Linked DNA regions of Drosophila melanogaster. The protein of the gene in region 1 interacts with the protein of each later gene in a pairwise test. Each region holds a gene or a part of one and is shown on either strand. Other genes may lie near its edges. The genes, in order: CG13733 and CG15059.

Region 1 (16,125 bases):
CCGATATACAAATACATCTCGAGTGGGGCTGCTTTTGTCCGTCCAAAGAGAGAGGGCGTGTCGCTGGAGAATGTGGGAATCCATCTCATATGTATATTCGTGATTGGCATGGGGAATCGGGGCTGTTCGAGTGGTCTGGGGAGTGTCGAGCACATGATTTCGAAGACAAGTTCAGCATTTGAAAAGATACATATGTCTGCTCTGGATGAAGTGTGTTTTATTAAGCATTGTCTGTTGTTCATCCTACTTAGTTTGTGCATTTGCACAAATATGCTTCCGTTAGAAATAATCTTGTAATCATACGATGAGTACTATCCCTTATTTCAGTTCTTAAAGTGAGAAAATTAGCAAGATACATTGCATGCATTTTCTGTATCTTTTGGGACTACTGCTAAATCCGTTTGAGTTATTCATAATGTAAGGCCAACATCTGGCTGATAGTGGCGACTAAAGTTAGTTGACTAAGGCGGTAAACACGACCCCAGCCCAGCTCAACGACAATGCATGGCCAGGGCCAATTCCTAACTGTGTTTTTAGGCCAACTTTCAGTTTCTCGAAATGCGAATCGAGGTTTTCATATCAAATGTGGCCGCAGCCAGCGGCCTGAGACGCTCAAAATAAATGCATAATTAATGACGATTTGGCTGTACGTATTTGTTTCTCCAGTTGATTAGCATAATGCCAAATACATACAGCACCATATAAAATTATCAGCTTGGGCTTGTGAATAAGACTTATTTTTGTGTACAACTTTACACGTGCTCTGGCAAACGAATACAGCAATATCGAGCCAGTAAAAATCGATATACAGTGACTAAACTTCTTGAAAATTTCCTTTGTGTCAACGATGAGTAAATGTGTTTTTTACCCCGCTCTCTTGGCCAAGAAATTTATTTTAAACGTCAGGCAGATAAAACAAATGTCAATCCATCAGAAGCGAAGAGAGTTCCGAGGAAACGGAAGTTCTAAAGGATGGATATGTAATGGGTGTAATATAAGGTGGTATATAGATATATACGTGCGATCTATGTGAAACTGTCTGCCAATATTTGGACAATAAAACCATTTTCGCTTCGTTTCGTTAATCAATACAGAAAACTTTGTTTTGTTATTGTCTTTTTTTCGCTTTTGTTCATTTTTGTTATATATTTTTTTTTTAGAATATTTTGTATGCCAAGAATTTAAATTAGTAGAAAATCTGGTTTGTGATTTCGGGTCTGTTCTCTCAAGTTCCCCAACTTTTTTCTCATCTCCATCTGTAGCTCGTCTTCTCACTTCTACTCGATTCGTGTTTTTGTCTGCCGCTTCTCAACCGATTTCTTCATTTTCTGCGACGTTATTACAGGTGAATTTTGTAGTTCTTTCCCAGTTTTTGTTTGTATCTTTCTTTATTTTTCTGGACTTGGGGCGCATGGCGAAAAAAAGAGCGGAATCAAAAAACAAATTAAATGAGTTTGGCTGAAATCGAAATGCTTTGGGCCATTGATCATTTATTGGTCGGCGGAGGCGATGAAGTTAAAAGGAAACAATGGAAAAATATGGGAATGGCGAGGTAGACAAAGTTAGCTCCGAAACTTTGGTTATGGGAAACACCATAAATGGGTATTTTAACCATTTAAATGAAAATTTCTGTTAATCTAATGTTTACACAATCATTAGCTTTAAGTTTAGCTGTTGCACTATATACGTATTATTGTAGTATATTTTATATACAAACCTATTAATTAAACATATTTTTTAGGTAAACCAAACATAGAAGTCAAAAATGAAATGGAAGAAGCCACAATGAAGTGAATTAATTTATTTCAAATTGTAGCACTCATTTGACTTTCTCTATGAACCTGAGCAAAATAATGTAACTTCATGAATTTTTAATTTTGCTGCGAAAAAAATAACTTCAATTCGAGAAAGAATAAAGTGATTTCTCTGTCACTTTCAGATGCGTTTCCTGCTGTGTGTTAACGTCGTTTTAAGTGTTTAATTTTGAAATCCAAAAAATAAACGGCTCTGTAAATGTGTACGTATTCAATGCGATCAAGCAAATATATATAAATGGATAATAAAAATCGGTGATAACGAACCCGATGTGGGTCAGACGGAAAAGAGTGTTTCTTGCTGGTTTCTGGCCAGAACAAACACTCATATGATTGAGGTACAAAAGTGAAACTCTGACGCTCTGAAAGTCGGTAATTCTGAGTCGATAGTTGCGGTGCGGTATAAACATTTACATTTGATTAAACAGCGTTTATTGACTGTTTTCGTTTTTGCTTTTGTTCGGCCTTAATGCATTTCGCCGATATTCGGCTTTCGTTTTGCGAGGACACAAAAAGAATGCGGGAAAAAAGCCCATCCGAACCCAACCCATCCCAACCCGGTATCTGTATCTGCATCTGTGCATCTTTATCTGTGCGTATTTATTTTGGTTTTACGGCATGTATGTAATTACCCGGGAACCGAGTAAAGCAGGCAGAAAAGACAGAGAAATGGAGTGTGTTTCGTATTCTTTGGCCGGTCTCTTCTCCGTCGCGCGTCTTATCATTATTTCCGAGTGTGTATTGTGCGCTTTCTGATTGCTCTGCCCCCTTTTAACCTTCGTATTTAAGAAATTTCTTAGCCCATTACGATTTCACTCAATACGGCGTATGATTTTTGTAGGCCTTCCAACAAAAAATTACATGTTTCACTTTCTCTGGCGCCCGAATAGTCCCCCCCTTCGAAAACAGAAAAATAACAAGAACCGCGTCGAAGAACCAAAAGATAAATGCTTAGACATCGTCTGCCCCTCTCTATTTTGTTTCGAAATATCTTTTCGGGGTTTCTGTTTTTGTTTTCCCCACATCAATCAGAGAATGCTTCGTTCTTTCCATTTCTCTTGTGGGCAAGCATTGAAAAGGGAAATTTCTTTAGCCCAATTAAATGAAAAGAAACCAAATCAGGTTATTCCATGAATTTTGAGCTTATTTCTGGTTCTGCATGTTTGTTTGGCACTGATCGTTCTCTTTGAAATTTTATTTCGCCACAAGACTTAAATGCATTATACAAAAATTGTTTTTGGGAAATACACATTTTCAAATAAACAAATTCTATATATATGCAAGTTGAAGTAATTGTTAATTGGGGTTCTAAGTAATATTCACTTAAGCAAAGCTCTTATACTCTTATACTCTATTATTGACAAACCTAAATTGCCATCCAACTCTAAGTTCTTAAGTTGTCACAAAAAGTTGTCATTTTATGAACATATACAATTTATTTATTAAAGCTGTACTTACGCTTATCGCTCCTGTTTCGCTTTCTGGTTTTGTTGAATTTTTTCATTCAGAATTTGCTACGCAATTTACGCGTTTAATTTGTTGCTGCCTCTGTTCGCCGCACTCGTTTTTCTGTTATTTCACACACAATTTTTTTTATTTAATTGCACACATAATGAACAATATTAAATGCTATATTCGTATGTTTGTGCGTTGAAGACACGCACTCAGCCAATTGAAAATTGTATTTGCGGTTGGGTTTCAATACAACAAATTTATCAAGCACTCACTGAAAATGGAATTGGCACTTTAATTTTTTGTTAAAATGGTCTGAGGATCTTAACAATGATGTATTTATTGATTAAGTGTGGTTTTAATGAACTTCAAAAACGAGATTATTTAATATGTTATTAGTTTTATTCGTTTTCGTACAAGTTTCTTTAGGTTTTTGATCAGACAAATTTGTCAACCAGTTTTTTTTTTTTTAATATTTTTATAGTGTGCGAAAATATTTGTATTGAGCGTTTAGAAATTTAATAATTTTTTTCTGTGACTTGCACGACGAAAATGTGTGGATTCAACTGGGTTCTTGGACACAGGTATCTTTCAGGGAATATTGGAGGTATTGGGAACCGAAAACGAAACCGATTCGGAGCGGAGCGGAACCGAAAAGTCGAGCGACGCGTGCACTTACAGCGACGTCTGAGCAGCAAAAACTCGAGAATAACCAAAGTGCGGCTCAATTTATACGAGGAGTCGAAAAACACAGACCAGAAGATACATTTACAGATGCAGATACAGATACGCGTTCTCTTTGTGTTAGTGTATCTCAAAGATACTTCTAACCGTCACTCTCTTACGCTCTCTCTTCGCTGTGGGGGTGGTCTGTCTCCGCTGTTATCGTTATTGCCGCTCTCTCTGCGCGCTCTGTGTGTTTTGGTTATAAAAGTGTAGTAGATTTTTGGCATTTATCTGTTTTTGTTTTATTTGCATATGTTCAATATGCACGACCCACATTGTTGTTGGTGTTGTTGTTGTTGTCTGATCGCGGCGTATAGAAATAATACGTATACACATGTGTATATATACACCGAATGTACATATTATCTCTCTCGCCCCCCACTCGCACTCACACACACACACTCTCACGCACCGCACACATACAGTTGCACCGCCTGAGTTCCGCTGCCCGTCGGCACAGTCCGCACACGGTAACAATTCGAATACGAATACGCAAAACGGTCTGGCGAACTGAAAACAGCCAAAACTTTTCGCCTGCGCCGACGTCGACGTCGGCAGCGCAGCTGTTTGGAGCTGTTGGGGCTCTGTTAGGCCCCCACGCTGTTAGGGCTCTGTTAGTTCGGCTGCTCTCTCTGTTTGTTATCAGTGGCGTGCGCTCTTTTATCAAATTGGAAAGGGGATTTTGGAGATCAGACAGATCGACCTGGGTTAAACTTTCAGCATACCGGAATATTAGAATACATTACGTTTATAAGGGAATAATTGAAGTGGTTTTGATAGAAGTACCAATTCTTTCATAGAAAGACCTTTATTTTGATTGAAATTCGACAAGTTTGACTTTCTCTTAGCTTGGCTTAGTGTTTTTTAACTTACGAATCACATGTAGTACACAATATTTATTGTTGCATATGTACAATAAAATACATTTTCTGCAAATGACTCAACCAAGATTTTTCGTCTGGGTGGGGTGGGTAATATAAAAAAGTGAAGAGAAGTGATGGATATTCTAAGTCTATGATTCGATTGATTAATTTCTTATTATGAGCTATACATTATTTTCACTAAGGCATGAGGAACAGCTTAAAGCCTGAAAGTTTTGCATTTCAAAGAAAAGTGTTTATGATGAGGAATTTTGGTGGTTTAATGTTCGTTACATTAATGCTCGTTACATTTTAGTTAGTTCCAGCGAAGTACTAAAAAGGAATACTTTTTGCAAAACGTGCTAAATAGTTTCTATAAGTTGCTTTGTGTGTTTACCAAGTGATTTTTGCGATTAAGGGTTATCTCTTAGGTTATGCATCTGCTGTCTGTCGGTGCAACTGACTTTACAATATAGTCTACAGTCTTGGAGGCTAATGGAATTCAGTTTGCGAAATTCCTCGAGTAACTCTCTGGTCGCCTATTAATATTCATATGTGCAAAGTACGTATCAATTGCATATTCGGCGCAAGGTCGTCTGCCAAGCGGCCAGATAGATAGGCAAACTGTCAGATACGCGTACTCATGCAAAGTCTGTGCGCAATAATCAAGCAAATTGAGTGCAACGCAGGCGATGGCGCAGCCGTATCTATTGGCTACTCTTTTGGCAAACTCCCATCGATATCGGCTCGATTCGCAGCTAGACGGCTAATTACGTGACATGTTAGACGCGAAAACAAGTTAAACACGCTCGTTCGATTTGTGTAATTAATTGCAGGCCGAGACGAGCGAGAGCTCAAAAACAAATTCACCTCGAAATGTGCATTGAACTTTTGCGGTTGCTTTTCTCGCCGCCGCCGGATGAATGTTGTTTTCCCTTTTCGGTGGCTCGCTTTTTTTGTAACCAATTCTAGTTGCAATCCGCTGCTGATAACCCGCAGATGAACCCATGGGTGTTGGAGCTTCCACATTGAAGGGGGTTACGCATTCTGAGTGGGCTTGTTGGTGGGTGGGATGGGGCACGAGCAGCTGATGCAGCTGATGTGTGTGTGTCAATGTTTCAGCTTGTAAACAAACGGCAAGCAAATAATGACAAAGTCGACAACGAAACTCCAAAAGTGTTCCTTATTGTTTGTTGTATTGACTACATCGCTGGGCTTATCGCTAACCGTTGTCAGATGGAATAAACATTCACATTTATATGTGTTGCACACAATGTGGTGTGGTATGTATGTGCAGTGGGGCTTCCTTATGACGAACTTGTATATTACATATATTCCTATAAATATTAGGTATTTTTATTGCTAATAAAATAAAAAGTAGAAAAAGCAAAAGCTTGCCATACAATTACTTTTACTAATTCTTATTTCTTTAAGCGATTTCCCTAATTGTTGTTAATTTTTAATGAGCTTGATATTTTACTACTGAAAGGGGAATTGGATGGGGAAATGTTCTTATTTAATCTTGACTGAAAGCAGGAAGCACGCTTATGAATTGGATGAGTTTGAAGCGAATAGAACGGATCAAAAGTCGGAGCTGGCCTATAATGTGTGTCAGTGGTGATAAGCAAATGCGGGGGGTGGGAAAACTATTGTATAAGATCTGAACGGAGTCACTCGATTCTACTCCTCGATCGAATACAGTTTGCATTCGTTATAAGGGTACTTGCCTCTGCCACTCCGAGTCGCCCCATTCCCCGAGTGTGCCTGCCATGACTAATTAAGTAACCAAAAAAGTATGAAAAGAAGGCAAAAAGCTGCTCAAATTCTCAGCATTAAAACGTGCCGACAACTTTGTAAAGGCTGCCAAAAATGCACATTTTTATTTATATTCGCACACAAGTTGTTGGGACATGCTTTTTTGGAGTTGGAATCGATGCGAAGGGTAACTTAGCTGACACGTGAGATTTGAATTTAGCATTTGGGATAAGTGGAAAATGAGAATTATCTTGAAAGTATCTTTATTCGGATACTATTTTAATATGCATTTGATTTTTGTCAGACTAACCATAAAGATTAATCTTTAAATATGAATTAATTAGTAGGTAATAGTAACTAACAGAATAAGTACAACAAGATTTCTTAAGCTATAAGAAATGTAAATATTTAAAGATAATACGTATGTTTAAAAGAGTTAGAAATAAATTCGAAATGAATGTGAATAGATGCTTTTTATAGTCTAGCCAATAATTTGTTAATTATTTCTTAAATAGTGAATTTGCAATTGAAAGTTCCAACCATCATATTAGAGTACCAGTGGGTGTGTTTTAAGGGGCTGAAAGTCGAATTCCTGCCACATGGAGTTTCGATTCCTGGACTCTTCTGCCCGTGTGAATCATGAGCATTAAGCATAAAACCGACATTTAGCTGATTGATCTTAATAAGAATTTTTGCGGCGGGGCGGGGCATTCGGGCGGAGGATGGCTAACGGATCCGTTGGGACGGGTCAATAACATTGTGCGGATGCCTCCTTCTGATTCTCCCCCATATGCATCCCCATATGGATCCACCGATGTTGAGTCCCTGAATTTGAGGGCGTTGCTGGGCTGCGCCTGCGCAACATAACAAACTTTGTGTTTGTTTCCCCCACTCGATGGCGTTTCTTTAATAACTCAGAGTCGAAGTCAGAAATTTTTGGAAGCGAGTAGGAGCTGGGGGGTTCCCTTGTCGGAAATCTGAGTTTGCTTTGCTGAGTTATGTTGCATAGGGTTCTTTCATCCGACTTGGTGCGCGTTTGTATCTCCCAGTATCTTGCGATATAGATATATCTGCGATTTGCACCCAGAACGGATGTCTGTGCTCGATTGTTAAATTGAAATTTGTCGCCAAAAACCAGCAGAATTTGCAAAGCAAATTTCCGACCGAAGTGTCTGGCCTGTTGCATATTTCATATGTTTTGATTCTTGTCTAAAGCTACAGCTTTTTGGCGATTCCTCTGCAGATTTATGCGCAAGTGCTTAATCGAGGCAAGGATACAATAGAGGGTGGAAAAACTGTGCCAAAAACAGCAGTTTTCATTTGAAATCTTCGATAAAATGCAAGACTTCAAGAATTTCAGATTCTACGGTTTTTATTTTTATTATATACTATCAAATGAGGGTATTTTCAAGTAATTATTTCTGATTTATGCGGGTAACCATATTTTTTCTAAGAATATTTAGTGCAAACAAACAAAAAGCCCATAAATCAATTCACTTTTATTTGACTTTTCGAGTGCATTTGATTGTTGCTCTCGGGGTGAGCAAATTGCGCAATATCTACGTCGATTTTTGGCCGTCTAGCAGGCAAATTAAATCAAGCTGCACAGCCGAACACGAAATATATAACCTGATTTCGATGTCTGCAATTCAAATTAAATGCAATTAAACCGAAATTGATAGAAACAAAATCGAACGAATCCAGCAAGCTCTGCGTCTGCTTCTCCATTTTTTTTCCACGATGGCACTTGACAGCTCCTCCTTCTTTTCTGTTCTGATTGCCTTTCCTTCGTCCTTTAGACATCTCAAATTTCGTCTAGCCGAAGTCTACGCTTCTAAGGGGCTTATAAAAAAAAGTATATATAAAAAAGAACGAGACAGAAAAAGGCCCTGGACTTCTGGTTTGGGTTTGGGGTTCGCCTGTCTGCTCCCTGTCTGCTGCGTGGTTCCTTTGTGCTTGGCTTAGATGCTAGTCGGGTTTGGACCTTTTTTTTATGTTGTTTGGGTTAGTCTGCCGAAATTCTGGGTCTTTGTTTTGATTTCGCATTTTGATATCATCTTTCGGCATGTGCAAAGGGGTCGGAGGGGTGTGAGGGAATGTCGCTCTCAAAGCCGAATTTTGTATATATTATATGCGGGATTTATAGAGCTGGCAGTTAGTAGCGAGTCTGGTTGATGCAAGCCAAATTAAATAAATAATTAAATTATACATTTACAAGTATGGAGTTTCCTTGCCTATTCATAATTATTATTTATATTTAATACATTATTAATCTTTTACTGTTTTTATTATCCCTGCTGATTCACTACACAAGAATGCTGTGCTATTTTTGTAAAATAATATTATACATAGTTGTATAAAATTTATTTATATGTTTAAGGTTCCACATAATTTTTCGTACTACAAAAAACCCAATTAAGTTCTTGTTTTGTTTGGTATAGTAGACATACAATGGCTAAATTAAAATTAAAAATTAAAATTAATTAAAATCAACATTTTCAAAGGCCTTGTTATCTGAAGTACCACAATTACATTGTACCCTTTTATAGCCTTTTAACTATTGTCATTAACTATATCAGTGATAACAATTTTATGTATTTGTATTAATCTCTCATTTCAACTACTATCTATCGTTACTAACAGTTTTCTGCCAAAACGATTTTAACTTTTAATTTGATTTGACTTTAATTATTAGGCAAAGTATCATTGGAATCTCTTGGATGAACATCATTATGGTATTTAAAGCTCTTGATTTATCAGATTTCATTTCTTTGTATTAGAAACGTAATCAATGTGAGTTATTTTTATCATTTTTATTTATTAAAAATTTTAAAATTATTATTATTAAAATATATGTATATATTTGATCCGCAGATGTTTTCGCTCATCTCTGGCGAAAAATTACTCTTCCTCAATCTTTTGGCTGCCGAAAAAGTAGCCAGACGAATGTCCACATGTGCCGGGTATGTTGTATATAGTATCTGATGTCTGGACTTTTATTGTATGGCTGACCTTGAATTTATGGAAATTGCATAAGTGGGAAGAAGTTTGTCATATTAAGAAATATACTGGAAGCATAGAAAGCCGAAGGCAGTGATGGTGACATAAACGACCAGACCTTGGCATTGTGTTGAAGGACTGTGAATCGAATTATTCGAGGAAGTTGCTTGAATTATGGCTCAAGGGGGTACTTTGAATTTATGAGTATTCAGGATATTAAGAATGTCTTTTTTTTCGCCGGCCAGCACCATCCATCCATCTTCCACACCCCGAAAACCAAACGAAATCCGCTTCCTGCTGCCAAATAATTTACAACTTGCGAATGCGATGCACAGGCTATGGGAAGAAAACAAATAATGATCAGTCGCACATAATGCATGCATATATCCATGGGCATATCGATAACCCTTATCAAGTGTGCGGCATCGCGGCCAAAAATATACAAATTATGCTTACCAAAAGGCAGAGAAAACATAAATCAATGGTTTTGGAATACTCTAACCAAGACAGCAATGTATGAAACTTCAAACATTTTTCCTTATTTCCAAATTTACTTAAGAGATATTAAGATAAGTATACAAGAAGTGCAAATTTGTTGTACCTACTTAAATATTCATATGCATACATGTATGTACATACATATATGGTTATTTGCGTGTGGTTGGTCGCCTCAAGTGATGGGCGTGGCACTTTCAACTCTGGTTCAACCCATACAATCATGAAAACTCTGACCAGATCTTGCCAAAAATGAGCCCACCTTGAACCTGAGTTTATCAAATTGCAGTCATTTTGCTTGTGGTTTTTATAGTACTTTCAAATAACTGAGATTAGTTGGTCAGTATCGTTACAAAAAAAAGGGTAAAAGTGATCGACTTTTTCACTTTCCGCCAATTTGAGGATATTTGCAGAGATTTGAGTGTTGCATGATTCATAATCGAACATTTATATCATAAAAAAGTAAACAGTTCAGTTGCTTATTTATTACGCAGAATTGCCTTAAGAGTTCAATTAACCATTAAATATTTTTAGAGGTGAAACAACGTTTGCCCTCACTTAATCGACAAAATTTGAACTAATTCGAATAAAATTAAGAGTCAGAACGAATTCACGAGTGGCTAAATTATTGTTTAAAATGACCAAGGGCGTGAGGATTTGCAACGATGGATTGCCTGGTTTGCCGAATGAAAGGCCATATTCCCGAAGAACTTTAGATACGCGGCAAAAGACTCAGAAGATGTCCTCCAGGCCATCTAGGAAACCATTGCAGTCTCTACAAACTGTCGGTCGGAATACGAGTTCCAGCCTGAAGCGCATAGGAAGTCCGATCTCCGAGGAAGAATTTGGTGTCCTGGTGCAGCAGGATTGTAAGGCAGAGCAGCATCACACCGATCGCCAAAACCTGGCGGACATAATCCTTATGCAGGCCCGTCGCATCGAGAAGCAGCAGCGGGAGATGAAAAGAATAAAGGCGCACTATGAGCGCCAGGTGTCCACCATCAAGAACAATGCCATCATGCTGGAGTCGCATCTGCAAAAGGTGCTGGCCAGTGTCGAAAGGGATCGGGCCAAGCGGATTGGCCACCACTGCCAGGACATGCTCGGTGCCGTGGAGAAGCTGCAAAGGAGCGACATCCAAGTGAAGCCGCAATCTTCGGCCAACCAATTGCTGATCCAGTATCTTCACTCCAAGAAAATTTCGCATTCGACCAAGAAGTCCAATGAAAACACAAGTAGGTACAGGAATATGTTGTGAATCGTATTCTTGTGTGTACATTGTGGTTTCACTGGGTTTTGTGGTCAGCTTAAATTAGCATATATGTGTATTAATAGAAGTACAAGTTATTATAAAATAAAATAATGGCAACAATGAATTTATTTTATTTTACTAAGTTAATTCTCAACAAGGACGGAGTTGGGCACAATCATTATCTGTTCTATTCCTCGTCCTCCTCCGAGGCAGTTACATCCACGATCGCGTTAGACATGCTCTGTTGTATCTTTTGCTGGACATTGGCGTCCTGGACCAGGTGATCTGGCTGGATGTAGCACAAGTTGGCGCAGCCGAGCACCGGGCATCGGATGCCAATGCGGTCCATTATGATCGGCATCACCGAGTCGCGGTCGTAGATGTGACCGCACATTTTGTTGCGCATGGGGTTCTTTATCAGGGCCTTGGACCAGGGATCGTAGAACGAGAAGACCTCGCTGCCGGAGTCTTCCATAATAAGGTCCTCATCATAGGCGGTGCCATTCGCTTGATCATTGACTTCCGCACCCGCCTGACCAGCTGCTGATTCAACTGCTTTTACGAAGTTCTTGAACTCGTGTAGATTCTTGACATTGATGCGCTTCTGCTCCACCGCTTTGGAGCGTTCCTTCCAGACTTCCTCGAACTCCTCGATGGTGGCGCTAGAGTTTTTGACCTGATTCATAGCCTTGTTGAGCGATTGGTGCTTTATCTTCATATGGACTACATTCACGGCGTGCTCCACGCTCTGCTCAACGCTCTGCTCGAGCAACTTCTTGATCTTCCCGCCATCGCTGAAATCGGACACGAAATCTGACATTTCCTTGAAGAACTTTTTGTTTTCCACTAAAGTGGAAAGTGCGGAATCAGCAAGGTAATTGAATTCCATTTTATCCAGAATATTTAAGCCAAATGTTCAAGACTGATGGTTAGTTAGGCTAGCCTATTAATTAGTGGTCTTTGAATGGACTTATATTTATAAATAACGTTGATATTTACCTGAAATTAGGTTTTTAAGCAAATGCCACGTGGAATGTAATCGCTTAAAAACTGGAATCATCGAGAATTTATCGTAATTTACGATATCGATCTTAAATCGAAAGCACAGATTTTTCGGTTTTCGTTTCGTTCGAATTTTTCGATTTGTAAAACGGGCACTTTTATCTGGTCGAAATAAAAAGTAAATGCCTTTTTTTTATATCAAATCAGATCTTATTTACAGGGGAACAAATATCGAAGGTTGCCATTGAATTGCGTAATCAAAAAAAATTTCAATTACCGGAGCATGCTTGCATAACAACGTTTTATTTAAGTTTTTAAATGTCAGATCTCGGATTCCCCACTGAATGCCTTCAAAATCCCAATAGACACCCCAATCTTGAAGCAATTTTCCAATAGACAAGCCGTGTGTTTTGGACTACCAAAATTTCATTCGTCCAGCGCGATGCCATACCACGATCGAGCCAAAGCCCGATTGGAGAACGAGGTGGTTCTCCTGCGGAGCGAGGTGTCCTCGCTGCGCTCCAAGCACAACCAACATCGTAAGTATCGGCAGGAGCAGGTGGTTCTGCAGGCGCGTATGGAACAGGAGATCCAGCTTCTACAGAGCGAACTAGCCGCAGCTCAATCGAATCGGAATGAGCGGGAGTGCGGTGGAGCCGAGCAGTGTTCAGTGTTGAGCCAGCAGCTGGAGAAACTTGACGAGCACGTGGCTAAGCAGGAGAAGTACATTGCCTTCCTGGAGGAGCAGATCAATCTCACACGTAACAAGTACCAGCAACGTATGACCGAAGTCCGGCAGAATGCCGAACTGGTGGAAAAGGAGATGAAGCGGGTGCGCCGCGAGATGAAGACCATTGCCGAGCAGGCTGGGGAAGTGGACAGCCTCAAGAACCAAGTCGGTTTCCTCACCGCCAAGCTGGAGCGCCGGAACGCCATCATCTCCAGGTACGAAGCCCAGCAGGAGGAAATGATAAGTATCATGGCAAGTCTCCAGAAGAAGAAAGTTAAAAAAACGCGCCATCAGAAGATTCACAACAACCATGACGATAAAGCTGATGTCAGATCGATCCCTTCCGAACAGCTACCAATGCCCAAGCCGAGTGATCAAATAAAGCATCGCAAGAAACGGAAATTTGGCGAAGGCGATAAGGAAGATTCCAGCTCGGCGGGCTCTGATAAGCCACCAAGTTTTGAGGCGAATCCCAGGTCTTCAAAAATTCGATCCCATAACTTGGACTGCCTCTCCTCTGCGCTGAAAAATAAGTTAAGTAACCAGCAACAGTCAACTGTCGAGGGATGATCTGATTTCGTACCCATTATCTGATGGATATTCAAATTTATGGTTTTTAGATAAGCTTTTTACAAAATTTCTTCTGTAACCGAATATCTCTGTAAAAATTGTTATGTACATACATATATAGATCTCTTATGAACAGTAAATGATTAAACTAACCAAACGGAACTTCAGTCAGCACTTCGTTTTCGACGGGCGTCGGAGTTCCTGGAACTCCCGATTTACAAGTTCATTGACAAGCTGCTGGATTATCCATTCAGCAGTATGGAATCGGGTTAATGATCCGGCTTAATGGATGGCTTTATTTTGATTTATTTTGTGTGGTAAGCAATAGCTTAACTGCATTTGTTGGGAAAGTTTGAATGATCCGATGATGTAATTAATACATATGAATATGTATTAATCAATCAATTATTATTGTTTAATGCGTAAGTTGTGCTTGTAATAATGGTCATTTATTCACGGAAATTTCTAAGAAATGCATATGTTCTCTGATTATTATAAACTAATAATAAACTACTAAAGATGTAACTTTTTTGTTTATATTAGTAAGCTGTGAAGTTAGGTAGATTTTCAGGCTATATGAAGGATTAGACAGTTGCAGGACTATCAGTTGATGTTTAAGAATATTTATGGGATCCTTCATGTTCGTATAAGCAACACTAATCAGAAGAATAGGTAGACTTGTCTCAGTGGCTTATCCGAGGGCTTAAAGGTAGTGCTGCTATTTCTAGCCCTGCAATCAAGTCACGTTCGCTGGGTGTTCTAATGCAATATTTTAGCATAAGAGCACGTACCGCAGTATTGCATAAATTCTGAAAGTGCCGGGCAATGAGTCAGTACGGGATTGCAGAATGGAGCCAGCTGAAGTCGGGCGTCTATTGAATTCTAATGCTGCACCAGGAAGTGCGTGCAGACATTGGGCAATCAATCGCCGGTCAATTGGAATCGTTTGTGGATAGCAATTGAGTGTGATTGGATATGGCTTCTACTCCGGCAATTGGGGCAAAAGTTCAACAGTTTTTGGATGAGAATGCCTGTTCCAAGTAGGACTTACTTCGAGTATTCGAATAACCTATCTTATCGCAAGACAGCTTGCCAAGAATCACAGTCGCCTGATGATGAAATTAACAAATTCTGGGCTCTATTTTTTTCTTCTTTTTTTTTGCACGATCCGTGGAAGTCTCGGGGGCAGTCAAACCAGTTCACCCGGCCTTCGAAAACAATTATATTTTTGGGGTTGGGCGTGTTGTTGTGCAAACACCTACGAAATAACACGATGACCCTGAGACCGAAAAAAGCACGAGTACGTTCTAGCACCCAAAATATTACACATATAATGTACGTGACGTCACTGCCTCGAGGAGTGCTCCAAAAACCATAGAACTGAAACAAGATGCAAGGTGGCTTGTGGTAGTTATTATTAATCCTTAGCGTACATTACATTATGAGATATATTAAACACTAAACTGGATCCATCTACGTGACAGAAAAGCTGCGAAAATTGTTTTTCAGCAGCATGACCACGAAGAAAATGCCCACGGCAATCGACAAAAGCTGCACGTTGACCACCTTTGAGTCCACCAGGGCCTGTAGCATGTTGTGGATACTTTCGCTGCGCACTTCGTTACCGCAGCAGTCCATTAATGCACTAATATCGGATCAATAACCAATTAGAACGCCAATATTTTGCTTGCAAACAGCTGTGCGGTGGCTAGAGGTGGGGCTATTTACTTTTCTCACTCATCGATTGTTTCGGGTGACTTTCGATGATTGATTCTCTGCAACTCTAGCGGGTGACTATCAATGCTAAGACCGTTACCGAATATTAAAAACAAGTAAAATTTTTATTTTATTATTAAAACGTAATATATTGCCTCCATGTCGTGTTTTTTCTTTGAAATTCTCATCATATGAATTTTTTGTTATTTTATTTTGAGACATTGCAGGGCGAGATAGCTTGGACTCAAACCAAGACTGGGGAACAGCTGATGCAGCTGCTCATCCAGAAAAACAAATTCTCTCTAGAATTGTTTAGCAAACAGAGCAATAAAACTGATAAAATAGAACATAAAATTATCCCATGTGTAACGTATGAGTACAAAGCCTTTGGTGTTTAGCCTTCCAGCAACCGAAACACACAACTCTCTTGAACTGTGGGTTTAGTTTTATTAATTAGTTTAACATAACTATCTGCTAGTTGGGACGCTTATTCGTCGTTCGCGTAGTCAGCGGGGTTCTTGCGCAGCAGGGCGGTGTGCTTGCGTTCGGTCAGATCGTAGATCAGGTATCCCACGATGAAGGCTGAAAAATTGGGTATTAGAATACGATTCGACGGGAATCCTGAGCGATTTACTTACGGGGAGTAACGATGAAGACGTTGGAGCGGAAGCGACGCACCATGTTGGGCAGTCCCTTGCTGATCGCTCCAGCGAAGGCGCGCTGCTCGAAGGGCGACAGCTTGTAGGTGACGAT
Region 2 (16,178 bases), on another chromosome or scaffold:
ACACTAAGCCACGTGTGAAATTCAATCACCAACTCAGCCAGCCGGCCGGTCAGCCAGGATCAGCTTGTCTCACTCTCACTCGGCAGCAGAACCGCGAACCACCGCGAACCACCGAGCACCACCGAACCATCGAACATCCGAACCATCGAACCACAGAGGCAGTGGCTCGAATATCGCCATCGTCATCGTTATTGTCGTCGTCATCGCCTGGACACCTCGTTAGGGGCTCAGCAAAAGGAGCACAAGGAGCCAAACGGGGCAGGAGGAGGAGCAGGGCCAAGCGGCGTGGGGTCCATGATTCCAGAGTCCCAGAACCTGAGCCCAGAACCCAAGACGGGGCTCGCTTCACTGCGGTTTCGGTTTCTTCCGCGGCAGCGGCAGCGGCAGCGGTGGTGTCGGTTTCGGTTTTCATATTTTGAGGTTCACCGATGTGTTAACAGGCGGCGGCTGTCGCATATTAGGCTGCCCGTCCCCCCCAAACCGTTCGCTCTTACCACTCAACACTTACCGCTGACCGCTTACCACTTACCACTTACCACACTTACCACACTAACCAGCCAATGCCGATATGCTATATGCTATAATATGCATACTCATACCAGCCAAGAACCACCATCGCCAATGCCAGGGGCCCTTGGCAAGTGTCACGTCGAGCACATAAATTAAATACACAACAAGTAAAAGCGATGGGCAGTGCGCTTTTTCGACTAGGAGATACCTTGATGCCTGGCAGAACTTTTATTAAATTGTTGGCAAATGATATTAAATGGTTTTGAGCTACAGATTTGCTCAGCTCTATGCCACCAGCAAACGCCCTATGATTATCAGTTTGGATTAAAACAAACTTCGTGGTCTTAATTTGAGTTACTTCTGCTAGCTTACATTGATAGGTTTAATAAAAAACATAAAAAGGAATTGCTGAAATTTTCAACTAACTTAATTTAATATTTTATGCCACGAAGTCTCCAGCTGTAGCTTATCAAAATAATCAATGATATATAGATTTATTATTAAATGTATTCACATTCCTTGGTTGAATATTTCAATTTAAGAAATACTGACATGATAGTTTCGTTTGATATGGAATAATTTAACTAATTTTAAGTACAAAAGTATAACATTTTTTCCTAAATATACTATTATTTAAACAGTTAAGCTACTTTTGTTTTGAATATTTTCAAATTAATATATTTCTGTGTAATTTAAACCTCTCCCTGTAAGATATAAAATCTAAAAAAAAAAACATACCCATACCAAACAGTATGGTAAATACATACTGGGAGGGTATTCCACCTGCCCCACCTGCCCCACCTGCCCCACCTGACCTCCAGACCTTATAGACCTGCCGCTTGCCCCGTCGGCTATGCCCGATGGTCGAGGTAGTGTATGGGATGCCCAACTCGGACACGAGAACATGAATAAGCAGCCGATCGAAACGAGCACAAGACAAGATAAGCAGATAATTTTCTAGCTCCAGCTCCGGACTGCGACTCTTGGCCGCCGGCAGAGGCAACAACAATGGTAGCGAAGACGACTCCAAATTGGACCACAGAGGCTGCTCCGCTTTTCGACCCCTCCATCTCCTGCCCATCCAGCTCTGCCAGCTCCTCGTGCTGCTCCTTCATACTGACCCAGTGCCTGGTACCCTTAACAGCGACATGATGTTTTACTAACCAGCGAACGGCAACCGGCAACCGGTGACTGGTTAAGAAGACGGGCTGCTAATAATTTGTGTTCGCGACGCCGCCGAACAGGAAAGCCGGGTCCCGAGTCCAGAGTCCCGGTTCCCTATGCCAAACCTCGCACCCCACCACGTTACTCGAGGACAGGACCGCCTCACAATGGATACGAAACCGAAACCGAATAGCCGAATGATCGGGATCAGGGGCTCCCCTGCATTTGGGCCATTGTCGTCCTTCGTTTCGTGCTAAACGTGTTGTTGCCAAATTGTGAACAAGATTCATTCATGTTTCAACACATTGAGCAACACGGAGGAGTCGTCTGGGATCGGTCGGCTCCACTTGGGATGTGGATGTGGCTGTGCTCCCATCCGTTGCCAGTTGCCGGTTGCCGGTTGCCAGGGCCATCAACCGTCGTCAGCCTGCTCGTGTGAACAGACGCCGCCTCATCATTCCGTAGCCCCTTTATTCAAATCGGCAGGGTTGGCGCGCTGGAGTTGGGGGGTATATATTTGGACAACTTTGATCTATAAGGTCCGCGATGAATGAAATGAATCCGGGTAGACAGTAATTAGGAAGGGTTGCGTCTCTAAGCTTTGAGGCCATACGAATTGCTAGACACACTGAGAGAGATCCACTGACTCATCATCCATGGCACTTTGACCCTCCGTAGGGTTCTAAGCCTCTGCAGCTCTACGTTCGGAGTTCTGTGTTCTGGGCCAACCGGAAACGTCCGACATTCCAGCGGCATTCCACCGCCACAGTTGGCCATAAAAAAAAAATGAAATAAAATAAAATAAAAAAAAAAAAAACACACCAGAGAACAAGAAAGAAATACACACGAAGTGCGCGCTCGTTTATTGTGTGCCTGAAGATGTTTCTTATTATGAAATTAGACTGAACCTTCGGCGACACTTGGCCAGCGCTCAATGAATGAAACCGAAATGAGAAATGAATGATATCATGGGCATTGTTAGCTGAATCCGATTCCCTCTCCCTCTTCTGACCCTGGATCTACCCAGCCACAGCAAGCCAGCCAGCCATCCAACCATCCGATCCCTATCCCTATCCCTATCTTTGTCCCTAACCCAAAAACCAGAGCCTGCGGGTCGGCCTGTCGATCCCAGGGACCGGCAAACGAGAGATCAAATGCGATAGCGCCACGAAAACGAGCCACCAGCAGCAGCAACGTGTTGCTCATTTAGCTGGCAGCCCAAACGCGGCCATAATTCAACGCTTTTGATAACTGCGTTAGGTTTAGGCACCATCCCATCCCAACCCAAACCCATCCCATCTAGAGATCCGAACTCCTTTCGAGCGACGCGGCGGCCCAGGATCGGCGCGCGTCAGCACTTGGAGGGACCGGAGACCCAAAAAACCCAAGAGGCGACTCCCCAGGCACAGTGGTTGAAAATTTGGTTGAAATGCCTTGGTCACGTAGTTGAATAATCATCAGTTTAATGGCAAGCATTCCATAGGGATAAATCAGGATTCAAACTGAACTTATTGTACTTAAGACCTAAAGTGTTGTGAATAAGGTAACATACATTTAATCGCAGACTAATCCTTTTAAATTTATTTATATCAGCAATAAGATTTTGTTATTAAAGCTAAAGGTGTTATATTGTAATATTTGTATCAGTAACTTACCTAGTTTATACACCTTTCCATATTCCCAGAGTAAAGCGCTGAATACCCTGTGTCAAAATAACATATATTATTTACTTCTATCTAATGCTTACAGATGAAACGCTACTACTTGCCCCACTGTGCCTTTAAACTTGGCCTGCCTGGCTGTACAATTTGATTTCGGTGTTGTTTGCCTGGCGATTTGTTGTGTTTGATTTGCTGCCTCGCCGTCCTGTTCCATCCTGTTGAGTCCCCAGCCGCTCCACCCTCGCATCCGCACATCCTCGCTTCCTCGCATCCACGCACCACTGAACCACCGCACCACCGAACGCAGCTCTGTCGCATTCCAGCGGTGCCGCAGCGCTTACATTGTTCGCTTTTTCGGTTCATTCAAATCCTTTCGGTAAAATTCTTTTGTTTGGTGTCAAGTTTAACAAATATTTGCGGCCTCTTGTCTTGTTTGTCCCATGTTCCTCGCGTGTTACTGCCGCCCGTCATTGTTCGGCATCTCAGTTGGACAGCGTGGAAGTGGCTGCGGTACATTTTGTATGTGCGGCATGGGGGCGTATGAGTAATCAGTGCCGCCCGCAATTAGTTCGCCTTAGACAACTGGCGAGCTGAAAAAAATCCGCACCGAGCCCCAAGGAGTGAGAGTGAGTTGCAGTTGGAGCTTCGTCCTTTGCTAGGCAACAACGATTTGCTTCCCATGATTGGCCAAAGTTATTGCTGTTGCAGTTGCAGTGCCATTGTTGCAACTCTCTTATCGGTGGCTTTTTCGAGCCTTTGTGCGAAATTTTTGACTCCCTGCTGTGTGAGTCGCACAAAATGCCACAAGAACTGCTGTTGCTGCTGCTGCTGCTGCTGCTGCTGCTGTTGCTGTTGCTGCAACAATCTGCGGAGCAGTGCCCCCTGGTGGGGCATTCGGGGGCGGGGCAGGCCCAAGTGGCACTGCTAGCCAATATGGAGACTTGCAACTGCTGCAATACCAGGGCCAGGCAGCAACTTCCACTGCCGGGCTGCAACTGCAACAAAATGAAACCGTAATTGTTTGTTTATTATGGCTCTGAGCAGTTGTTGTTGCAGCTATCGCATGTTATTGTTGCTGCTGCCGTTGTATTGTTAAATGTTAAAGTGCTACACAATATTTATATTGGCATTGTCTGCAAGAGTTGGCCATCGTCGGTTGCAGCTGAGATCGCACTGCAAATGCCCTGACTTTTAAATATTTAGTTGGATTTTTAGAAGGGTCAAATAAATATAAATATATATAGAAAAATATATATTTTAGTAAGGTATTTCAAGGTTTAAGTGCACTAGGGTTAAAATTTAGATTTAGCACCCAAGATGGAGCCATATTCCAACTTTGATAAAATTGATATTGAATATAGCTGATAAGCAAACAAGCTCATTTTCAGTTTTTACATTCAGAAGATAATGATTTAAAGTTTTGCTTTAACATACCCCACATGGCCAGTGGACCCGTGTGCATCTGCAGTGTAGCGTGGAGTAGAGCAGGCCGAGATTACCATCGGAGACACCCTCGCCGACGCACAGAGGGGAACCCAGCGATGTGTGGCACTGCTGACACTTCAATGGAGCCCCTCTTCTGGCGGTGGACGAGGGCGTGTGGACAAGGGGGCGAGGAAGTGGCACTCCGAGGTTGCCTCATGCTGTGGCGCTATGCTGCGATTATGGCCACGGATTAACTTCCTCTTGTGGCCATCATCATTGTGGTTATTGTTGCTCCTGCCACTGCCACTGCCGCTGCTGCTGCTGCTGTTGTTGATTTCCGATTGCCGCGCCTGCCTGCACTCGCACCTAATTATATCTAATTCGAGCGAACCTGAACTGAAACGGAATCCGATTCCGATTCCGACACCGAGTCCCGCGATGCGAACCCTTGCCGCCTCTTAGGCGCTGATTGCGCTTATCAACCGATTACGGCGACGTGACTGGGTGGCGATAAGAAGGCCCGTGGCGATCGGACACGCTTCCCTTGAAAATTAGCCCCGCCAAGCCTAGAACTATGCAATGCCAGGGGGATCATTTCATAGCTAGACCCCCCCTCATAGGCAAAAGTCGAAGGAAGATAAGAGTTACTCAAATTATTGCATCCAGAAGTCTCTTCAAGCAAGTATTTGTGGTATATAGTTATATATATAAAGAGGACTAGAGCGCTCGCAGACTTCAAAGGGTTTTGAAATTTAATTTGAAAATTTCCTTATGGATCTTATGGTCTTTTAAACTCTTTTCTTTGTTGTTACACATTAAACAGTAGATCGATCGGGCGGCTTTCAAGATGCCTGTGCACTCTCATCTGGCATTTGATGTGGCAGCATCTGTATCGGTATCTGCATTTGTCTTTGTATCTTAGTCGTACCTGGGCAGGTCTAACACCTTATAACACCCCATAAATCAAGTGCTTAACCGTTTTTTACGATCGCCACGTTTCGCAAGGCCCCAAAGACCTTTTGGCGTTTTCATTGTATCTTTTCCCTCTTATTTTTTGGCTAAGCTCCCCTTTGGCGGCTACTAAACCGGCGGCAAGGTCAACGCGTCTCTTCTTCGCTTGTGCAACCCCTGACATTGAGCAATGTGCGCGAATGGGAGGGAGAATCTGATGCTGACGGAGATGGGGGAGTTCCACTGGTGACTGGACAGGAAATGCTCGCCGAAATGACGTCTCACTACTACCACACTCAACTACGCAACGCTGGTGACATTTTTCTCCACTTGGCGTCGGCGCGTTGACAGTTTCAGTTTCAATCGCCGTCGAGACGAGTCGACTTTTCCCACTGGCGGCAAAGTAGAAACGGATCCCGAGAGCGGCCCAACAATGCCCCGGGGCCGTGTTAATAGAAACGTTCCGAGATTCGACAGAACGAGGAGCAGTCGGTGTCGACCATGTAGACGGAGCCAGCGACAATTCCCGGGAACTCCATAAAAATAGCTAAACGTGCAGGGGCCGCCCAGAACTCTTCAGCGTTCAGCGTTCAACGCTCAACGCTCCCCGCTCATTTCATTTCACTTCATTTCATTTCAATTGACCGACTGGATGGCATTCTTTTCTTAGAGCATTTTCCTGCTGCTGCTGCCCAAAAAGGGAAATTCACTTTCATCTTTTCAATAGACAGCCGAAGCGTAGAAACACCATGGATCAGGATCGGGACAATCAGCTGTGTGGGTCCTTTAATGTCTAAATCTTTGAGGCTGATTCCTGATGTGTCATACCGCCCAAGTCTTGACCTGCTGCTGCGTTGCTCGCCCAATGTCCTGATCTTCGATCTCTGATCCTTTTGGGCCCTTTGTTCGCTGCTAACTGTTTCGGGCCGGGCCCATCCCTTTCAGCCTCTCTACCTCTCCCTCACGCTAACCTCGCACTCGCACTCGCATTCGCACGCTCTCTTTCTGGCACTTTGTGTGCCGTGTAAATATTTTCCCAGCATCCTGCAAACGTTTTGACAGTTTTTATTAGATCAAAAAACCGGCTACAAGTGGCGTGTGATAAATTGCGGCCAAAACGCAGCTAAGCAGAGATGGGCCAGCCCAGATAGACGAGTACGAGTACACACACATAGGTAGGTGATAGGCACTGGAATATGGGAATGGGAAATGGGTATAAGGGTCTAGGAATAGAGGAAAGATCAAGTGTCGCTCACTTGGCTTCCCTTTTATTGTCTGATGATAAGTCGTGACTTTAGCACACACACGCATTTCTCCCCGTTGAGTGCCAGCAATTAGGGCATCCCAGAGTCCTGTTCTCTCGAGCATCTCAAATCCGTTTACCGGCATTGTGTTCGAAATTTAAGCACTCGAATTATTAAGACAATAAGATTTTATTACTGCCACAGCAATCAGCGTAATGAACCCTTCTGCCCAGCAGATCAACCCTACATCATGCACACATATCGCCGACTTGTCCTGTTTCTTTCTTGAGAGCGCTTTCTGTGCAGATCATAACTCATCATCGACATTGTGGCGACGGTGCGTTTGATTGATGAACTGACATAATACTCGGCACACTCACAGCTCAAATATGCTGGAGCTCCATCATAAGCCAACCCCAATCCCCCATCCAATCAGGGAGGCCGTGCTGAGAACGTTTGAAAAGAGCCCTTGCGAGCCCCACAACTATTGTGATTTTTTTTTTTTTTTTTAAGACAACACATTCCCCATCTCGTTGCAATAGAATGCCAAATTCGTCAGTAATCAGCAGGGTGAACGCGGGATTGGCTCGCTGTTTGAGCCACCATCGGCGATTGTGTCGCGGCATTGCCGAGCTGGACCGGCTCATCCACAACGATGAGTTCTTGAAGGATCCCAGGACGCAGTGGCTGCTCCATCAGCGGCGTCAAACCGAGGAGGAGCAGGCAAATGCAGATGCTAGGATCAGTCCGTTGGGCAGAATGGGTTGTGAAATGGGTCGTCTGCTGGGTAGGTCCAAGATAAATCTGTCCCCGCAATCCCGAAAGGTGAGTAGCAGTACTGCAATCCAACTGACTGGACGACCGCTGAATGAGCTATCTCCCCCACAGAACAATCTCGTCGTGACCCGGACCTTTTGCCAAATCCTCCAAGTTGAAAACTCCACACCCAGAAAGCAGTCGGGACCAATGCCTGCTCCAACTCCACTGCCATCGCCAGAAAGAAGGCAGAGTCTCATCTTCAGCGCTAGCCTGTCTCGTCCTGAGCCGTAAGGATCCTGCTCCAAGATCAGTCAAAGTAGTTAGGCATGATATCCTGTAGAGATACACTACCAAGCCTGGCAGAGATCTACGATATGTATAGATAGATCAGTGCAAGGCTTGGTAGGGTTCTCTTTGAGATGTCTCTGTGGAAATAGCCCAGAAACGACTGAATTTATATCCCACACAACTGAAGGGGCAGCAGGAGGATGTGGACTACCAGGAGGAAGAGGAGGAGGTGTTGCCCCGTCCGTCGTTCAGTATCCGTGCTGCTCTCGTTATTGTTATGAATAAGTTAATAACATGGCGGAAGGCTTCTTTTGTCGTGGCCCAAACAAGCAACAACCTGGCAGGCAGCGCTTATTAAATGATTGAAGCCTTTGGTGGGGCGAGGTGGTGCTGGAACTTCGACTTGGACTTGCTCTTGCTCTTGGTCGTCCAGTTGGACTCAAGCTGGGGGCCCCCATAAAAAAGGTGGAAACCTGGTTCTCGTTTCTTGATCTTTTTTTTTTTTTTGCTCCCCCCGTTGCTGTTGTTGTTGCCCACTCTTTTGAGCGCTGTGGTTTTTTCCCTTTGCGTCCAGCGACCACCATCAATAACAGAGCCCGGGCCATATTTATGATTTGTTAAGCAACGCCGAACGTGCGAAAGGATAATCACAAGCGCCTGCTGGCACGCCCCCCTTCTGCCTTCTGCCCCTTTTTTATTTCGGCGGTGGAGTGCGGCTTATGTTCGCTTTCGTCGTGTGTGAGGCATTTCCAAAATTGAGTCAATGACTTTTATTTTTACGACTCGCCCTGAGAGTCCAAGTGTCCAAGATGGATGGATGGACGGATGGATATCCAAAGCTGGTCGTCTGTTCTGGCCTGGCCTGGCCTTTTGGCTTTTATGGGACTGCGAATTGAGCTATTAGACTGGCGCAGATTGGGTGATCGTAGTAGTTATGGCCAGTTATAACAGGTGCCCTGCTCCAGATCCACTCGAACTTTGACCACCAGCGTTGGTGGTTGGTGGTAAACGCCCTCGATCCCGATCCCGATCCCAATCCGAATCCCTAGTTGTTGATTCCAATCTCGTCCACTCAACGAAATCAATTATGTACTACAAAATTGTACAAATCATTTTCGTTCGACCTCCAAAGTGTTTCAGCTGCCAGGGGATCGAAAAAAAAAAAGAAAGAGAGAATGGCAAGGATGCAGCTGTAAGGATCGCACATTTTGTGGCATGAGGATGATGTTGAGATTGAGGACGAGGGCAGGAGTCGAGGGCCCTTTGACACGCTCGCGGGATTAGCACGGAATGAGCGAAGGAGGGCCGGGGGCCTTGTTTCGCCGGAGAGCTGTGAAAATTCCTGGCATCTTTAATGAGCGCCGGCTTATCAATGGCCTCCGCCGTCATCCGCTCCACATCCCATACCCATGCCGATGCCCATACCCATATCCATTCGCAGTACCATTCCCATTCCCAGCCGCAGTCGCAGTCGCAGTCTGATTGTTAACCTTTGAATCGGGGCATTAAAAAACGTTAACAAGCTGCGTAGCGCCGTCGGCGGCGTTAATGTCGAAATTGGCGCTGGCCCAGGAATGGCCAAGATCGGTGAACTGGAGGTGGAGGAGGAGGAGGAGGAGGAGGAGGAGAATGAGTATGCGGATGGGAAGGAGAAGTGATTCCAGGAGGGGAGCAGGAGATCGGGGCAACTGGGAACTGGGGCCTGCGACTGGGACTGGGACGAACGTGTTTCTTAATGAAACAAAGCTTGAATTTTAAATGAGCATCATAAAGAACAATGAAAATGCAAGGAACAGCAACAACAAAGCGAGACCGGCGATCCGTTCGATGGACAAACACTGGCGGAGAAGTGAGCGGAGAGGGAGCGGTGGCGGGGCGATGGAGCGCGGACAGCGCGAAATAAAAGCGCAGAAATGTTAAATAAACAATAAAAAACAATCCGCTGCCCCACCGCCCCCTCGCGGAGTCTGTCAAACTCGGCCAGCGGATTAAGCGCGGCCTGCGCACAAGACGCACCAGAGATGGATATGGCAGCGATCCCAGGCGATCCCCCAAGCCCCCTCCCCAGACCTCAGCCCCGATCCGCCCGTGCTCCACTCCAACCACGTTTCCCCAAATCCCCGAAACCCCTCATCAAGCCAGTCCGGAGATGGAGCAGGATGGGGCGAAGTCAGGAGGAAGAGCGTTCCAGCTGACGCGCCGACTGCTGAATGTCCTGCCACAAGGTCTCCGAATTGTATTGTTACCATTCAAGTTTTTAATATAAATACCTTCTAGTTAAATAGTTTTACCACCTATTCTGAATTTTTATAAATAAAGTTGTGAATAAGTTAATTAAAAAAAATAAATAGTAATTACACAATTGAAAATGATATACTTTGATATTGTGTCAGATATGTATATTTGATGCACAGAAAACAATTCTATATATAAATTGTTATATTATAACTATAAAGAAATATTAGTGATATAAATTTGATAAAATATTATTGAATTTACCATTTAAAAGATTGTAAGCTTTAAAGGCTCAAACTAAAGATCTCCATGGGTTATACCCTTCAAGAAGTTAGGGTATCGCTCGATAATCATGTGGGTTGGGATGTAAAACTTTTGCCGTCGCCGCTTTAAGGATTCGCAAATGATTCTGCGGCCAAAGATGAAATGAAACGGGCCCAAAAGGATCGCGGGGAGCACAAGGGGCAGCTGGCCATAGTTGATTCTCTGGTGCTGGCCATAATTGGTGCTCATCTTAATGGCATTAAAATTGCATTATCGCTGTATTTATTGAAACGGTTTGTTTTAACAAGATTAACTCGACGATACCGGCAACAACAACAGCAACAACAACAACAACGGCAACAACAATGGTGGAGACCACAAAATGATTAACAGCAAAAGCCGCCACAAACGAACACCAAAAAAAAGATACAAAAAAATACAGAAAAGAATGAGAAAACGATCCGAAAACAGCGTTAAAATACGTGATATTTATGTGGTTGCTGCTGTTGTTGTCGCTTGATTGGCCCCATCCATTGTTGTTATTGTTGTTATTGTTGCTGCTGCTGGGGGTCATAAAATATTTATAACATAATTTCATATCATTTTTAGATGATTAGATTCAATAAGGCGGCTTCCAGTTGAGCAGCTGTATTGGATTTGAAATGAAATGCGCCCGATATCATTTGTATCTTTTTGTATTCGTACTTCAAAGGCGCTTATCTACTCCGGACTCGGGGAATGGCTTGCTCCTGGGAAGCCAGGAGCACCAGAATAGCTCATACTGAGTCAGCTCGATGACGCCCACATGCATTCCCAGAACCCTAGTTTAGCAAATCGATCGATCGATCCATCGATCGATGATGATCCAATACTGCAACCCTTTTGCAAATGATTCCGGGAAACACTCATAATTATTATTTATGCATACAAATTAAAAGCAGAGCGCAGTATTTGCCAAAAATCCGATTTCGATCAAAGCGCTTATTTATGACCGCTCTTCTGTTCTCACTTCTTGTTACCCCGTTTATATTTCATCAGGCCGCGAAATGCCAAAAAACAAAAAAAAAACACAAAAATACAAATGGAATGGAATGGTATGAAAGAGTTTGGAATGCGTTTGCCGTGGGCATGAAATGCCCTAGTCGAGATACAGATACGTGTCGCCATTTCGATTGCTTTCCATTTCGAAATTGCCGTTAGGTTAACCATTTTTAGGGGCATGATGTCGGCACATCCAAATTTGGTAGCCATCCATTCATGTCCAGCGATTAAAACTTCGAGTGCTCCCGTTATCAGGAACCAATTTGTTAGTGTTCTTGACCTTAGCCTTGGTCGGATGATTGGATGTTCGGATGGCTGGATGTTTGGCCAGTTGGCGTAGCCTAAGGTTGCGTTACCGTTACCAGGGGCTAGCTCGGAAGTGCCCCATCCGCTCCAGATTCCAGATTGACGCATCCACTTATCACCGGCTATGGCCTACCTGTGACCGTGCGTCAGCGGCGACAATTAAATAGATTGAATGCGGATTGCGTCGATTTATGACCTGGCAGTGGTACTCGGCACTCGGCACTTGGCACTTGGCATTTGCAATTGATTGTCGTGTTGCCCAATTAAACTTATTGCGCCTGGGAGTAAATGAAATGTCAAATAAGTTAATTAAGCAATGTGGATGAAAAGGGGATTGGGAATAGGAATGGGAATGGGAATGGGAATAGGACGAGCCTCCGTTACGGGGGCGTGTTGCTGCGATAAGACGAGCAGCGATGATAACACCGGACGACCTTGTTGCATCAGCAACAGGTGGCGCATTTGTGTCCGCTGCACAGCGAGAAAAGTAAGGCGATAAGATAAGACCAGCTTGCACTCATTCAACATGCAAGTATGTCAGTATGTTATAAACGATATAAATAGATATTATAAAGTATAAGTTCACACCAGAAGTTCTCCGGCTAAGATCAGGAAATCTTTGTTGGATTAAACGTAATAGCATTAAGAAAATAAGGATTAAATACGAAGATACGATTATGTTGGGTGGGTCTGGTATGATATAATTGCAGCAACTTTTGTTGCAGTTTTACACGATGAACTTTTAACAGCAGTTTAATTATAAAGTATAGCTCATTTCACTTTCAATTTTTGTATTCAAAGGGCACAAAGTTCTCTACCCAGATTGTGCCAAAAACAAAACCTTATTAATAAGATCATTTTAATAAGAGCATTTTCAATACATTAAATTGTATTTCATGATACATATTTAACCAGCTAATAAACGTGGTCGCTGTGCAAAATGAAATTGCTTTATTGCCGATAATCATTTGGTCCCATGATCATCATTCCTACCAAACAATTTCGCACGCGAAGTGTGTTTCGATTAGATTGCGATTGCCGCACTGGCAGCCCGTCCCTGTTTCTTGCCGTGTAGCCAGCCGTATTATAGTCGTGTCTCCCGTGATAACCACCGATACAAATTACCACTGTATCAATACCAATATGCTCGTAACCACCGAGCTGGTGGTGCTGCGGTGCGGCTGACTCATCAGGTGGTTGCCCCGCTTAGCGACACACACGGCGCACTCTGATTTTCCGATTTCGTTCGGCGCTTTTTGCGGGGGCTTCGATTTGCTGCGCTCGCTGAGTTGGCATCTCACCTGGCGGCGGGCTTCCAATTAACAAATGCGAGTCGCGTGCCTTGACGTCATTGGAGCTGCCCCTCCACTACACAAACAGCAACACCCCCCCTTCCCTTGTTTTTTTGCCCCAACAGCTGTGATATACAAAGGTCGCCGATCGATGTTTACCCCACAATTCCGCGAGAGACATGAGACAGCTCATGTTTTCAGCCGGCTACGTCAGCTGGCGCGATTTCAAGAAACCTAAGTGTGGGTGATCTTGGGGGGTTTTCGAAGATAGTGATTGCACATTGTGAAATTCTATTGTAGTGGTGCTTGCGGGTGGCGATGGGAACGGTGTGTGGTGTGTGGATAGGGGGTTGGGCTGTAAACAAGTAGGCCTGGTTGCCAATTGCCATGAATTGAATGCAACTGAATTGAACGGAACGGAATAGCTGGTGGTTTTTGCATTAACTTATTCCAACTTGACTTAGGTTAGGATTTTCCAGCGCCATTCGATAGGTAATATTGTGAAACTATGTGCTATAGGCACGCTCTAAAAATAGTCAACCATTGGTTAGGAGGGATTAACCAACACGATCCGGTGATCTTGACGAGCTATGATTTTCCGCGTTCATTAGGGGCTATTGATTATTTTCCAGCCAATACTGGTTTTTATTTTTAGCCCTCAAATATCTGGTCGTACTACCCGTTTTTTTTCCACCCATACGCTTTGTGGGTCAAGATGTTTCGCAGCTTGTGACGTCATGAAAGAAGCGGCGCGTGTTTGAAAGCTAAGCTCTTTTTTTCGTATCTTTTTTTTTCGCCATGTTGCCAGCCAAATATAACTCCACTCTCTAACTCTGTGGCGTCATCTACGCATGACGCATGTCTCACCTGGGGCCAAGTTCATTGCGTAGGTCGTTCGCACGGTCTTTAATTGGGTTATTAGGAAACGATGAGTGCGCCGCGTTTATTTTTGGCACAACGCCTCGCTTTGCCATGGTTATAATTGGCCATGGTCTGCTACCCTAGTGCCAAGCTCCAAGTCCCAAGCACCAAGAAGCCCCATCGCCAGTCCCCCTCAATCTCCGGAAGCGGCTTCGTCTGGCTGCAGTTAGCCAACTCGGATTGGGAACTAGGATTCATTTTAATTAGCCGCTTATTGATTGACGCCAATGGAAACATCTGAATCATCATCGTCATCATCATCATAATCGTGGTGATCAGCGGAGAGATAAGTTAGCCAGGCAGTCCGTTGACTAATTGATTGATTGCTAAATGACCAGGTCTAGGGCAGGTGGTGACCCTTCACTCCTCCTAATCTCCTTTCGCGTGGGCCAGCAAAAAAAACAAAAAAAAAAAACATTGTAAGTAAACAGAAAAGAAAACACGAAGGTGGAAACCCCTTGGCAATTATGCGCGGACACTCGACTCGTCTTTTTTCCAGAGCTGCAACATTGGCGGCAGCAGTTCAAAAACCTCGAAATAAAATGCAACTAATACCCCGAACCGAACCCCTGGAACCCTGAAAACCCTGAAAACCCCCATCCCGTTCCCCTCACAGTTCAGTTGGCTGTATCAAATTTTGTTTAATTGTCGGCTGGGTTCAGTGGCTCAGTGTCCAGTGACCAGTGACCAGTGTTCAGTATGCAGTCGTCTTCCCAGACATGGATTCTTCAACATTGTAAGCGCATTTGCTGCATTGGCATCTTGTCAACCGCCTGGGGTCCCCCCTCCCCCCCCCTCCTCGTGCTCCTCCTCCTGGCAGATGCTACTCCATTCGATCCATTGGGATGGTTGACTGTTCCCGTTCCCGTTTCAGATGCTCCATTTGCTGGGCGAGTTGTTTGCGCTGTAAATCGATACATTTGCACTTGGCTACTTACAAATGTCCGTCTGTCCGTTTCTCCGTCCGAATGTCCGTCCGTTTGTCCACTTTGCGGAGAACAAAACACAGGCAGCGCATGCAACACACACAACTTGGACAACAGAACACAGCGACGACGTGATCTCAGTGCGGCTTTGATGGTGGTCATTGCATGCCACCAAAGCCACAACAAGTTGATCAGGCTGCCTCAAACTGGAGTGGCATGGGGCGTGTGTGGCATGGCGGCATGGGGGCATGGAGGCATGGGGTGTGTGGTAGCCTCTATCTAGGGCTGGGTCGAAGTCGAAGCCCTGATCGAGTTGCAGTGGCCCACCTCATTAGCCTTATTACATGTGCCACATCAAATTAACAACAAGAAGCTGCTCCCGATGTTGCAGCTACGCCAGTGGCAGTGTTGCAGTTGCAATTGCAGTCACTGCAGCAGCATAAAAAAAATAAGGAGAAAACCAGTAGAAACGATAAGCCAGACACTTAGACACTCCGACTGGCAAATTCTCGTTATTCAGCTGGAAAATTAATTTGAAATACTCATTTTGGTGCACATAGATAGTAATAATAAAATAATACGTATAATCTTCATACTAAGTCCTTTGTCTAATATTAATGCTTTGCTAATTATTTGACTTATCTGTTTATCTAATCTATATAATTTTCAAATTATATTTTCAATTATAAAGAATTAATTAACACACATATCATGCATGTGATAAGATTCAGACTTGTTAGAATCGATAAGCTTTCAATATGATACCCACGCAAAGATTTTCGGCAATGTGGGAAACCCTGACTCATCTGCAACTTTTGTTTACGGAAATATTTTCAAACCAATCCAAAAGCAAAATAAAAGTATCAAATGATTAATGGGCACAAATCAAAGATATAATTTGTGTGTTTATGGGCAGTAATTAGGCGACCCGATAGTGTTTATATACCCTCGATTTGAGGCCATCTACAGGGTAGATTGATGAAATGAAATCAGGAACAAAAGCGACTGTGGGAGCCGGAAAATAGCCAATGGGCCGGGAAAAACTTCGACTTTTCCCCAGAGACAAGAAATGCCTCTTCTCTAGCCGCCCAGCAGTCTCAGCTCGACGACGACCCTGCCCCCGGTGATCCCGCTCCGATTTCTGGGTCATATTTTGGCCAACTTTTTCAATGACATTTGAAGCAGCCGCCG

The links.
Region 2: the proteins of CG13733 (region 1) and CG15059 interact in a two-hybrid assay, tested with the Drosophila melanogaster proteins (2 studies listed by BioGRID).

The regions. Positions count from the first base shown.
Region 1 is NT_037436.4:17,475,480-17,491,604, reverse strand, and holds CG13733 (uncharacterized protein), read left to right. Parts: upstream 1-12,678; 5' UTR 12,679-12,798; coding exon 12,799-13,656; 3' UTR 13,657-13,810; downstream 13,811-16,125. Other genes in the region: CG6333 (uncharacterized protein), read left to right, coding at 10,740-11,360; qjt (quijote), read right to left, coding at 11,542-12,243; CG34250 (uncharacterized protein), read right to left, coding at 14,979-15,036, 15,134-15,294; UQCR-Q (Ubiquinol-cytochrome c reductase ubiquinone-binding protein), read right to left, coding at 15,860-15,954, 16,011-16,125.
Region 2 is NC_004354.4:18,250,769-18,266,946, reverse strand, and holds CG15059 (uncharacterized protein), read left to right. Parts: upstream 1-7,429; 5' UTR 7,430-7,498; coding exon 7,499-7,780; intron 7,781-7,843; coding exon 7,844-8,005; 3' UTR 8,006-8,396; downstream 8,397-16,178.